2 linked regions of the Oryzias latipes genome follow. The protein of the gene in region 2 interacts with the protein of the main gene of each other region in a pairwise test. Links are inferred from orthologs where the notes say so. Each region holds a gene or a part of one and is shown on either strand. Other genes may lie near its edges.

Region 1 (4,258 bases), on a different chromosome or scaffold from region 2:
AAAACAAAAGAGCAAAAAAAACCAAAAAAAAAACAAACAAACATTACATTTTAAAAATCAAAACAAAGTCCCACAAACCAAAACACAGTTTAAAAAAATGAAACAAAATAATTTATGATTCCCAGAAATCAAAATAAAATGTAATAAACTGAAACACGATAAGAAACCAGGAAAGGTAGGTGCTATGGGATATCGCTGATGATCCAGTATTGCTTTATGGCAAATAACTTTCAGTTAAAATAAGGAACAGTCATAATAATTGATTTCCTTCATCTTCTGGTTTATTATTATGTTTTATTTTTTAACTTTTTTATACTTAATTACTTTTGTTTTCCTGAAATGTTTTTGTCATTTTATACAAAAACATTTTCCAAACATTGAAACAAAAACATTAAAAACCAAACATTGAAGATGCATTTGAAAAAAAAAAAAAAAAAACTCATGTCAAAAATCAAACATCAATATCCAACATCATCCTTATTTTATTTACTTTTCATTTTTAATTCTGGAAATTCCCAACCTTTTCATTTTTTTGAAATCATGCTTTTGGTTTCTGGAATTTTGTTTGGATTTCTAAAAAGTTGTGTTTTTTTGTTTTGCTTTTTATTTTTATTTTTATTGTTGTGATTGTTAAGATGTTTTTGCAGTAAATGATTTGTACTTCAGGGTCACAATAAAAAAAATTGAATTTTTACCTTTTACACTCGTTTTTTCTGTCACTGTAATAAAATGAACTACAGTTGGGTCCACAAAAACTCAATAAATACAAACCCTATTTTTAGAAATAGAAGTAGCAAAAATACTTTTTATTGGGCTGTACAACACTAACACATTTAACAGTATGGTTTTTAGCTCACTTTTCAAATACTTGAAGTCCTTGTTGATATTATATACATTTCCTAAGTATAAAAAACTTGCTGCATTGACAGATAATTTACTACATTCTAGGGATTTTCTTCTTAACGTGTTCCTATTTTTAGGCTAGCTGTTTACAAACTTTAGTTAGAGTAAACACATGTATTGCGTGTATAAGTGGTCAGACTGTTGTTGTGATCATGGGTTGGTCGGGATGTTGGGCAGCATGGTGGTGGAGGGAGGTCTGTGCCCTCAGACATGCCCGGGCAGCCTCCCTCTGACAGGTCGGTCACAACACAGCCCCATGTGGCACTTCAGATTTGGAGCTAGCTGCTAGGTCAACTGCTAACATTAGCATAGCAAATGTAAGAAATGTATCGCCGTGCTATCCGGCGCGCGCCAATGCATGAAAACATCGTTTTATTTCCATACAGCCTAATCTGGAAATGTTTTAACTGCACTTGCTAACAAACCTGGCGAGAAGGAGCTAAACAACGAAGAGGGTGGCGGACTGTGCAACTTCAACACCGTAAGTAATAGGGTCGTAATCAAAGAATGGGGTTGAGTGACTGTTTATCAGGAGAAGTCACCAGGTTTTGTCATTTTTGCTACCTTTTTTGCTGTCAGGCGACGTTGTTGGTCACACACTTCTCCCTGCAGATACTGAGCCGTTGTGAAAGCGCTGCTGTGCTGCTCAGGTTAAACGAGGTAAGACCGCGGCGAAATGGAAACCCTCCGCTCAGCTCGACCCCTTGGCTTTATTATTCAGACGAGTCCCACCGTTAGCTGGAATTCCTTTATTGTGTCACGCTGCCACGCCATGTCTCTTGAATATTTCTGCGCACCCTCCCAATCCATTCGCTCTCCATTTCAACCGCCTGATCCATTTGCCTTCTCTTTTTCTTTCTGGGCGCCTGTCAGCAGCCGCTGTATTCAGGCTTCCGGGGAAGTCGCTTTCAAAATAAAAGACACAAGGCCCACAGTTACTTTTTATGAATTTTTTCCCCCTAGATATTTTAATAATTTTATTTTTTCAGTTGTATTCATTTAATTTTATTTCTGTGTGTTCTGCCATGTTGAAAGATGAATTTCTGGTCCTTTAACATACATAAAAGTTTGTCTGTCTGTATGTTTCCTAGATATTTGAAATCTTTTTACCGTGTATAATACTATACATGTTGCTCATATTATATATGTTGCTTCAATATTAAATGTAAACTAATTTTGAAAAGGAGAAGTCAAGCAAAAATAAAATCAAACTACAGGATTTAACTTGCTGCAAAGCAGGACTGGTGGCTCCTTAAGATTTGGAAAACCTTTGGTAAAAACCTGGTCTGAAAACATCGCTTCTGTTGCCCAGTTCTTTTCTTTTGAAAAATAATAGAGCTCAACCTCCGGTTTTGTCGACTACAGCTAGCTTGATAATTGTCCTCCTGTCTTTTTTTCCGCTTTCAAGTTGAGTAGTAATACCGCCTCTAAGCGGACACCAGAGAACACGTCTCTTCTTTGTACAACAGTTGAGAGGCTCAACAGTTTTGACCAAAGTACGGCCGCGTTGTTTACCTGCTGTGACCCCGCAGTCGTTCACACGCAGCCCCGTTTTTCTGTTGCTTAATAATAGTATTCATCCAATGACACTGATCGTTTCCCTTTTCCATTGATACCAGTCTAGTGTCCACCATTTCCACTGTTCTTTTCTTTTCATTGCTTCTTTTTTTCATTGTCTTTGTTTTGACTGTTGGCAACCATTGTCCTCAGGCGGCTCCATCCCGTTGCGAAGGCAACCGGACCGCCGTGACGCAGAGGCACGTGCAGTTTGCTCGAGCCAGCAGCAGCGTCACGGGTCCATGACAGCAGTCATCTAACACTGTCTCCGTGGAAAAACATCCTCTGCTCGTGATCTCCACCACAACAACCTGCACATACATGTAGTCTAAATCATTCTCCATGTTCGAGCCTTGAAAATAAACTATTAAAATAAAAAAATAATTTTTTACACAAATGGATCAGAAGACTGTTATTTTCGAAAAAAACAAATAAACGAACATATAGCTCTTGAAATGAATGAGTGGGAAGGAAATTTTGTATTGAAAAGAGGATGCTGTTGACACATTTCCAACGGAGCCTGTGATTGGTTAGTCTCTGTTGCTATGGTACCAGACATCTGATGCTTTATGTCGGTGAAGCAGGAAGTGACTCCAGTCCCCTCCAGAGACCATGTGAGTTTGTTTTTGACAGACAAACATGCATCATTTATATCTTTTTAATATGAAAAAATGACTAAGAATGTAAAATACTTCCTTGTAAAATGTTGTTTAAAATCAGTGAAGTAAACAAAATTTAGGACCAGCCTCTCAGTGGAACCAAAGTGTTTTCAGATGAGATGAAGCTACAAGGGTTTGTGGGTCAGAGAAAAAGAAAAACAGCAAAAGGATATTTTCTTCATGTGATACTTCAGTAAAACTAGTTTGCAAAAAAATCAAAAAAGTTACAAAACTAATAAAAATTGTAAATGATCCCCAGCGTTTATGAATATTATTTGAAATTTGAATATTCTGTGTCAAATTATTTCACAATTTGTTAACATTTACAACAAATTATTCTTTTTACAAAACAATTTAAGTAGTAAGACTAAAAAAATTCTTCTAACTAAAGTTGTAAAACAATGTTAATTAAAAAGACAAATACATATTTTCTATTGTGCTTTCATGCTTTTCAAGTAGAACTTTGGATATGAAATTGTTGTTGACTGTTTTACCTGAGCTACACTCCTTAAAAATACACTTAACATGTTTCTCTGGGAAACATGTTAAGTTATGAGTATTTGCTTTCAATGCTTCAAGGGGTTAAAATCAAAGAATAAACAAAGACAAATAATTCATTCTTCACATTTGTATTTAATGATTTTTTCTTATTTTTCAAAAAAATTCTACAATTCAAAAATATTGCACAGTTAAAAAAAAGGTTTAAAAAACGTTCACACACCTAGTTGGCAGAAATTTTCAAACTTTTTGGGATTTTTAAAAAATAATTTGTTGATTTTATTCTTACACATTGTATTTCCTAACTTGAATCCTGCGCTCAAAAAAGAAAAAAAAGGAATTCAAATATAAGTAAAATGACATTTTCCACAAAACGTATGTTTGGCAAATGACTTAAAATCTCAGTCATACACAACACAGCTCCTCAGGTTACTTCATCCGTGAGAATGAAATTGATGCATGTTAATCCTTTAGAAGGTTTTGTGCAGCCTTTTCCCACTTTGACCTGTTGCGGCTTCTTCCTTTACACACTGCTAAGTCCTGCAAGCTGCATGGATTCCTGCATCTCCTATGTGAAAACAAAATCTCTGCTGGGTCTCCAACAAGTCCTGTCAGTGTCAGTTCAGTTTGGCACTAATGCG
Region 2 (4,394 bases):
AAGCACAAAACACGACAGGAGTTTTTAGATGAAGCTTCAGTTCTTCATTCACTCCTTTGAACCTCAATAAAATAAAATCATATAGAAAATAATGTAATAGAAAACAGTGTCAATAAATCTATTTGTTTGCTCCTCAATCAACAATGAAACTCTTTAAGTATCAGAATCACAGAAACAAGACTTTTATTTTGTAAGAAAAGTAAAAATGATGTCGTTAACTCGGGTGATTTTGGGATCAAAAATAATTCCAGGCAAAAAAATTTAAAGAAATATTTAACAAGAATATTAAAGGGGTGATTATTCAAATAAAAACTTTAGAAAAAGTATAAATATAAACTATATGTACATATATATATTAGCCCTGATGTTAATGCTAAATAGAAAAAGTGGCCCCAGGATGGAGCCTTGGGGAACTCCACATATAATTTCTGCTAGCTCAGATGTGAAATTACCAATGGACAAATGCCGCACTGAGATCAAAAACAACCAGAACTGACACATTTCCTTTGTCTGTGTTCAATCAGATATCATTCGTTTTATCATATTAAAGTCATTTAAAAAAGAAAAAAAACTGTGTGGTATATATTTTACTTTTTTGATCTAATCAAAGTCTGTATTTTTGTCAGAAGCTCAGCGAATGTCCCGACTCACCTGGGGAGCCCCGCTGGGGGTGACAGGTGAGTCATCAACACCCAGGGAGAGATTCCTCAGGCGCCGAGCAACAGCGCCTCCGAACTCCTTCACCAAGTCAGGCAGTGGGAGGAGCTGCAGGTCCTTCACGCTAACCACGCCCAGCTGGTGGAGTTTTTTAGCCGTTTGATGCCCCACACCTGAGGGCAGCGTCCAGGTTGAACAGTTTCTCAAACACGCCACAGGTTTGCTTTTTAGGAGGCCATCTTTCCGTACCTGGAACTTTCCGAACTCCGCCCAGTGACTCCATGATGTGGCCGACGTCCTCCGGCAGCAGGACCGTCTGCTGGTTGGGCTTGAAGGTGCCTGAAACCAGCTTGGCCAGCAGCTTGTTGGTGGCGACGCCGGCGCAGCCCGTCAGGCCCAGTCTGCTGTGGACCGCGTCCCTCAGCTCGGCCGCGATGTAGGAGCCCAAAGCCAGCCGCGGGTGGTCGCTGCCGCTGATCTCTGCGTCTGCACAGAGGCATGGCGTTCTGCAAAAAACGGACCGCTTGCAGGAAAGAAACCGAGATTCTCATGCAAATATCCTGATTTGCAAGTTCCTCTCAGTTTCCTGACAGCGACGGTTTGCAGCAGCGATGCGAGTCCAACTCACTGGAAGGGTTGTAGACGTGTCCAGAAAACGAATATCCTTCAGGCGGCGGCGTCTCCTTCATCCGCCTTTCCACCATCTCTGTGACGTCCATGAAGTTTTCGTCAAAGCCAAGTCTCTCCACCAAAGGACAGAAAGACGACAGCAGCTCTGAGAGGAGGAAAACGGCAGGTAAAGTCAATCAGAGTCTCAGGATCGCTCTTCTCCACAATCTGATCCTGTAGATCTGTTTTTAATTAGCCTAAGAACGGCTCCAGATTCCTGCCTGTCACTTGATGGGAAGCCTCTCTGTAGAGCGTCAGGTCTTCTCCTCGGACCAGAACCAGCTCTGGACATTTTTCTTTGGCATCGGTTACAGACATCAGCTTGGTGACGCCGCGCTCCCTCGCCACGTAATTACAGGTGACGATGATGTACTTCTGCTGGATGCCTGAGGACACAGACGTCATCGTTTGAGCAACTTTAAATTCTAAGAGGTATATAACTAAGTCACACCTGGATACTGAGTTTTGCTCTGAGATTTCCTATCTGTTACAATGTATTGTTCGTCCTTTAAATTAAGTTTATACATTTATGTTTAACAAAGTTTTGTTCCTGTGTTTTTGCTTTAATCCAGTTTATTCCAGATTGCTCTAGTGCGGTTAATCTGGAATTTAAAACAGAAAAAAGTAAACTAAATAAATACTTATCTGTACATAAATACATTAGAACTTAGGGTTATTTGCTATGAAACAACTGGAAAAAACCTTTAAAGAAAAAGATGGTATAGAAATATACACAAATATATTTATAGACACACATGTAGCCTACATTAATCTCCATATAAATATATCCACATGTTAATGAGGTCATTATAATTACCTTTAATTATACACAGAAATATTAAAAACTACACTTAATCCATTAAATATTAAATGTCAAATGGAAATAAATTTATTATTTAGTGGGGAAGTGCAATTATATAATGTCCATAAATGGTCATAACGGTAAAATGTCATCTAAATGGAATAAAATGAAGAAGAAAAAAACTCCATGAAAGGCGGGAATCTGAAATCAAAAAAGAAAACTGCAGCAGAAACAAGAAAACGGTGGAAAATTGCCTAAAACAGAGAATTTACCTAAAGGAACCTCCCTCAGAGAAGGATCTCTGATCATCTCCACCTGAGCGTAGAAACAGTCCAGGTCAAAGTGGAGAATTACTCTGTGAGGAGCTCCTGGAGGATTATTTACGCTCCATCCTGAAAACGGAGACACAACTGAAGTTCATGACAGCCGCGAGCTCCGACACGGGCTAGCTTAAAGCTTCAGAGTTTACCGGAAGTGGCGGGTTCTTCTGGACCCGTGAACTGGCTCCTCCACTGGCCATCGTCTCCGTCCATCTCTTCATCGCTGCTGTCCATTTTATTTATGAGTCTAAAGTTTGTAAAAACATCTGAAGTGTAAAAGATTCAGCCAGGGTTCTTCTTCTGTGGTTGAAATAGCGGCGCCAAAACAGCTAAGAAGCTCATTACCGCCACCAACTGGTGTGGAAGACGAACCTGGATTTCCTATTTCCCCCCTCCTTAAGAAAGCCATGTATGGAAGCGTTTGTGTAGCATAATTAAAAAATAAAAGTCGGTACTAGAAATGCTTTTTCATTTTCACAATAAAGCTGCATTTGTTGACTTAAAGGGGGAGGGGGACAGAAAAGGAAAGGGAAAGGGCCTGAATGACTTTTTTTTGTATATGCTGTTCTGCAGATATTTAAACTGTTACTGTTTTTACTGTTCTAATTTTTCTGGATACTGTACTGCTCTTTCATATACGTATGTCAACCAGTGCTGTATGCGATGGAGATGTCAATTTCCATGCGGGAACCTCCCCCATTGATAAATAAAGTTGTCTATCTATCTATCTATCTATCTATCTATCTATCTATCTATCTATCTATCTATCTATCTATCTATCTATCTATCTATCTATCTATCTATCTATCTATCTATCTATCTATCTATCTATCTATCTATCTATCTATCTATCTATCTATCTATCTATCTATCTATATCTATCTATTTAAAAGAAAATGAAAAATCAATCTGCCAAACGGCATTTTCGTTTCTTCAACAAAGTTTAATCTGTCACCTTTAATAAAAGGATAAAGAGAATGGTGTTTGACATTTCATTTTCAAAAAGTTCTCTAGTAAATGTGTATCAACATTCAACTAGAAATATCTAATTTGACAATTAAAATGGATTAACAGATTAACAGTTTTTCCTTTTCACAATGAAGCTGCGTTTGTCAACTCAAAAATAAAATGAAAAATCAATCTGCCAAACTGCTTTTTCTTTTTCTTCTTGAATTGTCAAACAAAGTCAACAAACGCAGCTTTGTTGTGAAAATGAAAAGGCATTTCTGGTACTGACTTTCATTTTTAATTATGAGACACAAGTGCTTCCATAGTATGAAAGTATGGAAACATTTTGCATTTAATTAAAACAAGCAAACAAACACAAAAAACGTTTCATGTATTAAAAAAAAATCTAAAACATATTATAAAAGAAAAGAAGAACACATTTTCTGCTCATCTTATAATTTCCATGAGCAGATGAGGTTAGAGCCCAGCCTGTTTGTAGTTCTTAAACATGTTCGAATGAAAATGTGGAAAAGATTTGAATGATCTTTTTTCATTTACAATTGAATGCAATACACTTTAAAAAAAAAAATTATCTTACGATCCACTGGGGAAAAAAAACGCAAACAAAAGTATCCCGAAAAACCTCAGATTCTCTTTTTCAAATGAATGCAATATGATTTCATAATTATGATGGAGTTTTAGGGCCACCCAAAACAAAAGTAGTATTACGAGATTTAAAGTCCTACTTTTTTATCCTAAATTTGCGGATTACTTTTTTCTAACAAATTTAGGAATATTCATGGTAATATTTCCTCTTGTTTTAATCACGACTTTAAAGTTTTTTTTTTTTTTTTTTTTTTTGTAAACTGGCCCTAAAACTCAGTCGTACATAATTTTTACTTTTTTTTTAAAACTAACTGTTCCGGACACGGACATTTTTTGTGTTTTGGTAATTTTTTAATTGCTGATCAGTTTTCTTGCATTTAAAGTTTCTTAAA

Evidence for each region.
Region 1: the proteins of poli (region 2) and rev1 interact in a two-hybrid assay, tested with the Homo sapiens proteins (2 studies listed by BioGRID). The link is inferred for Oryzias latipes from reciprocal best matches to the Homo sapiens genes POLI and REV1.

The regions. Positions count from the first base shown.
Region 1 is NC_019879.2:9,987,618-9,991,875, reverse strand, and holds the start of rev1 (DNA repair protein REV1), read right to left. Parts: upstream 2,841-4,258; 5' UTR 2,577-2,840; coding exon 2,419-2,576; intron 1-2,418. UniProt on the Homo sapiens protein: Deoxycytidyl transferase involved in DNA repair. Transfers a dCMP residue from dCTP to the 3'-end of a DNA primer in a template-dependent reaction.
Region 2 is NC_019867.2:1,943,920-1,948,313, forward strand, and holds the start of poli (DNA polymerase iota), read right to left. Parts: upstream 2,811-4,394; 5' UTR 2,683-2,810; coding exon 2,598-2,682; intron 2,521-2,597; coding exon 2,401-2,520; intron 1,759-2,400; exon of another isoform or gene 1,713-1,758; coding exon 1,548-1,712; intron 1,433-1,547; coding exon 1,286-1,432; intron 1,144-1,285; coding exon 907-1,143; intron 831-906; coding exon 652-830; intron 1-651. UniProt on the Homo sapiens protein: Error-prone DNA polymerase specifically involved in DNA repair. Plays an important role in translesion synthesis, where the normal high-fidelity DNA polymerases cannot proceed and DNA synthesis stalls. Favors Hoogsteen base-pairing in the active site.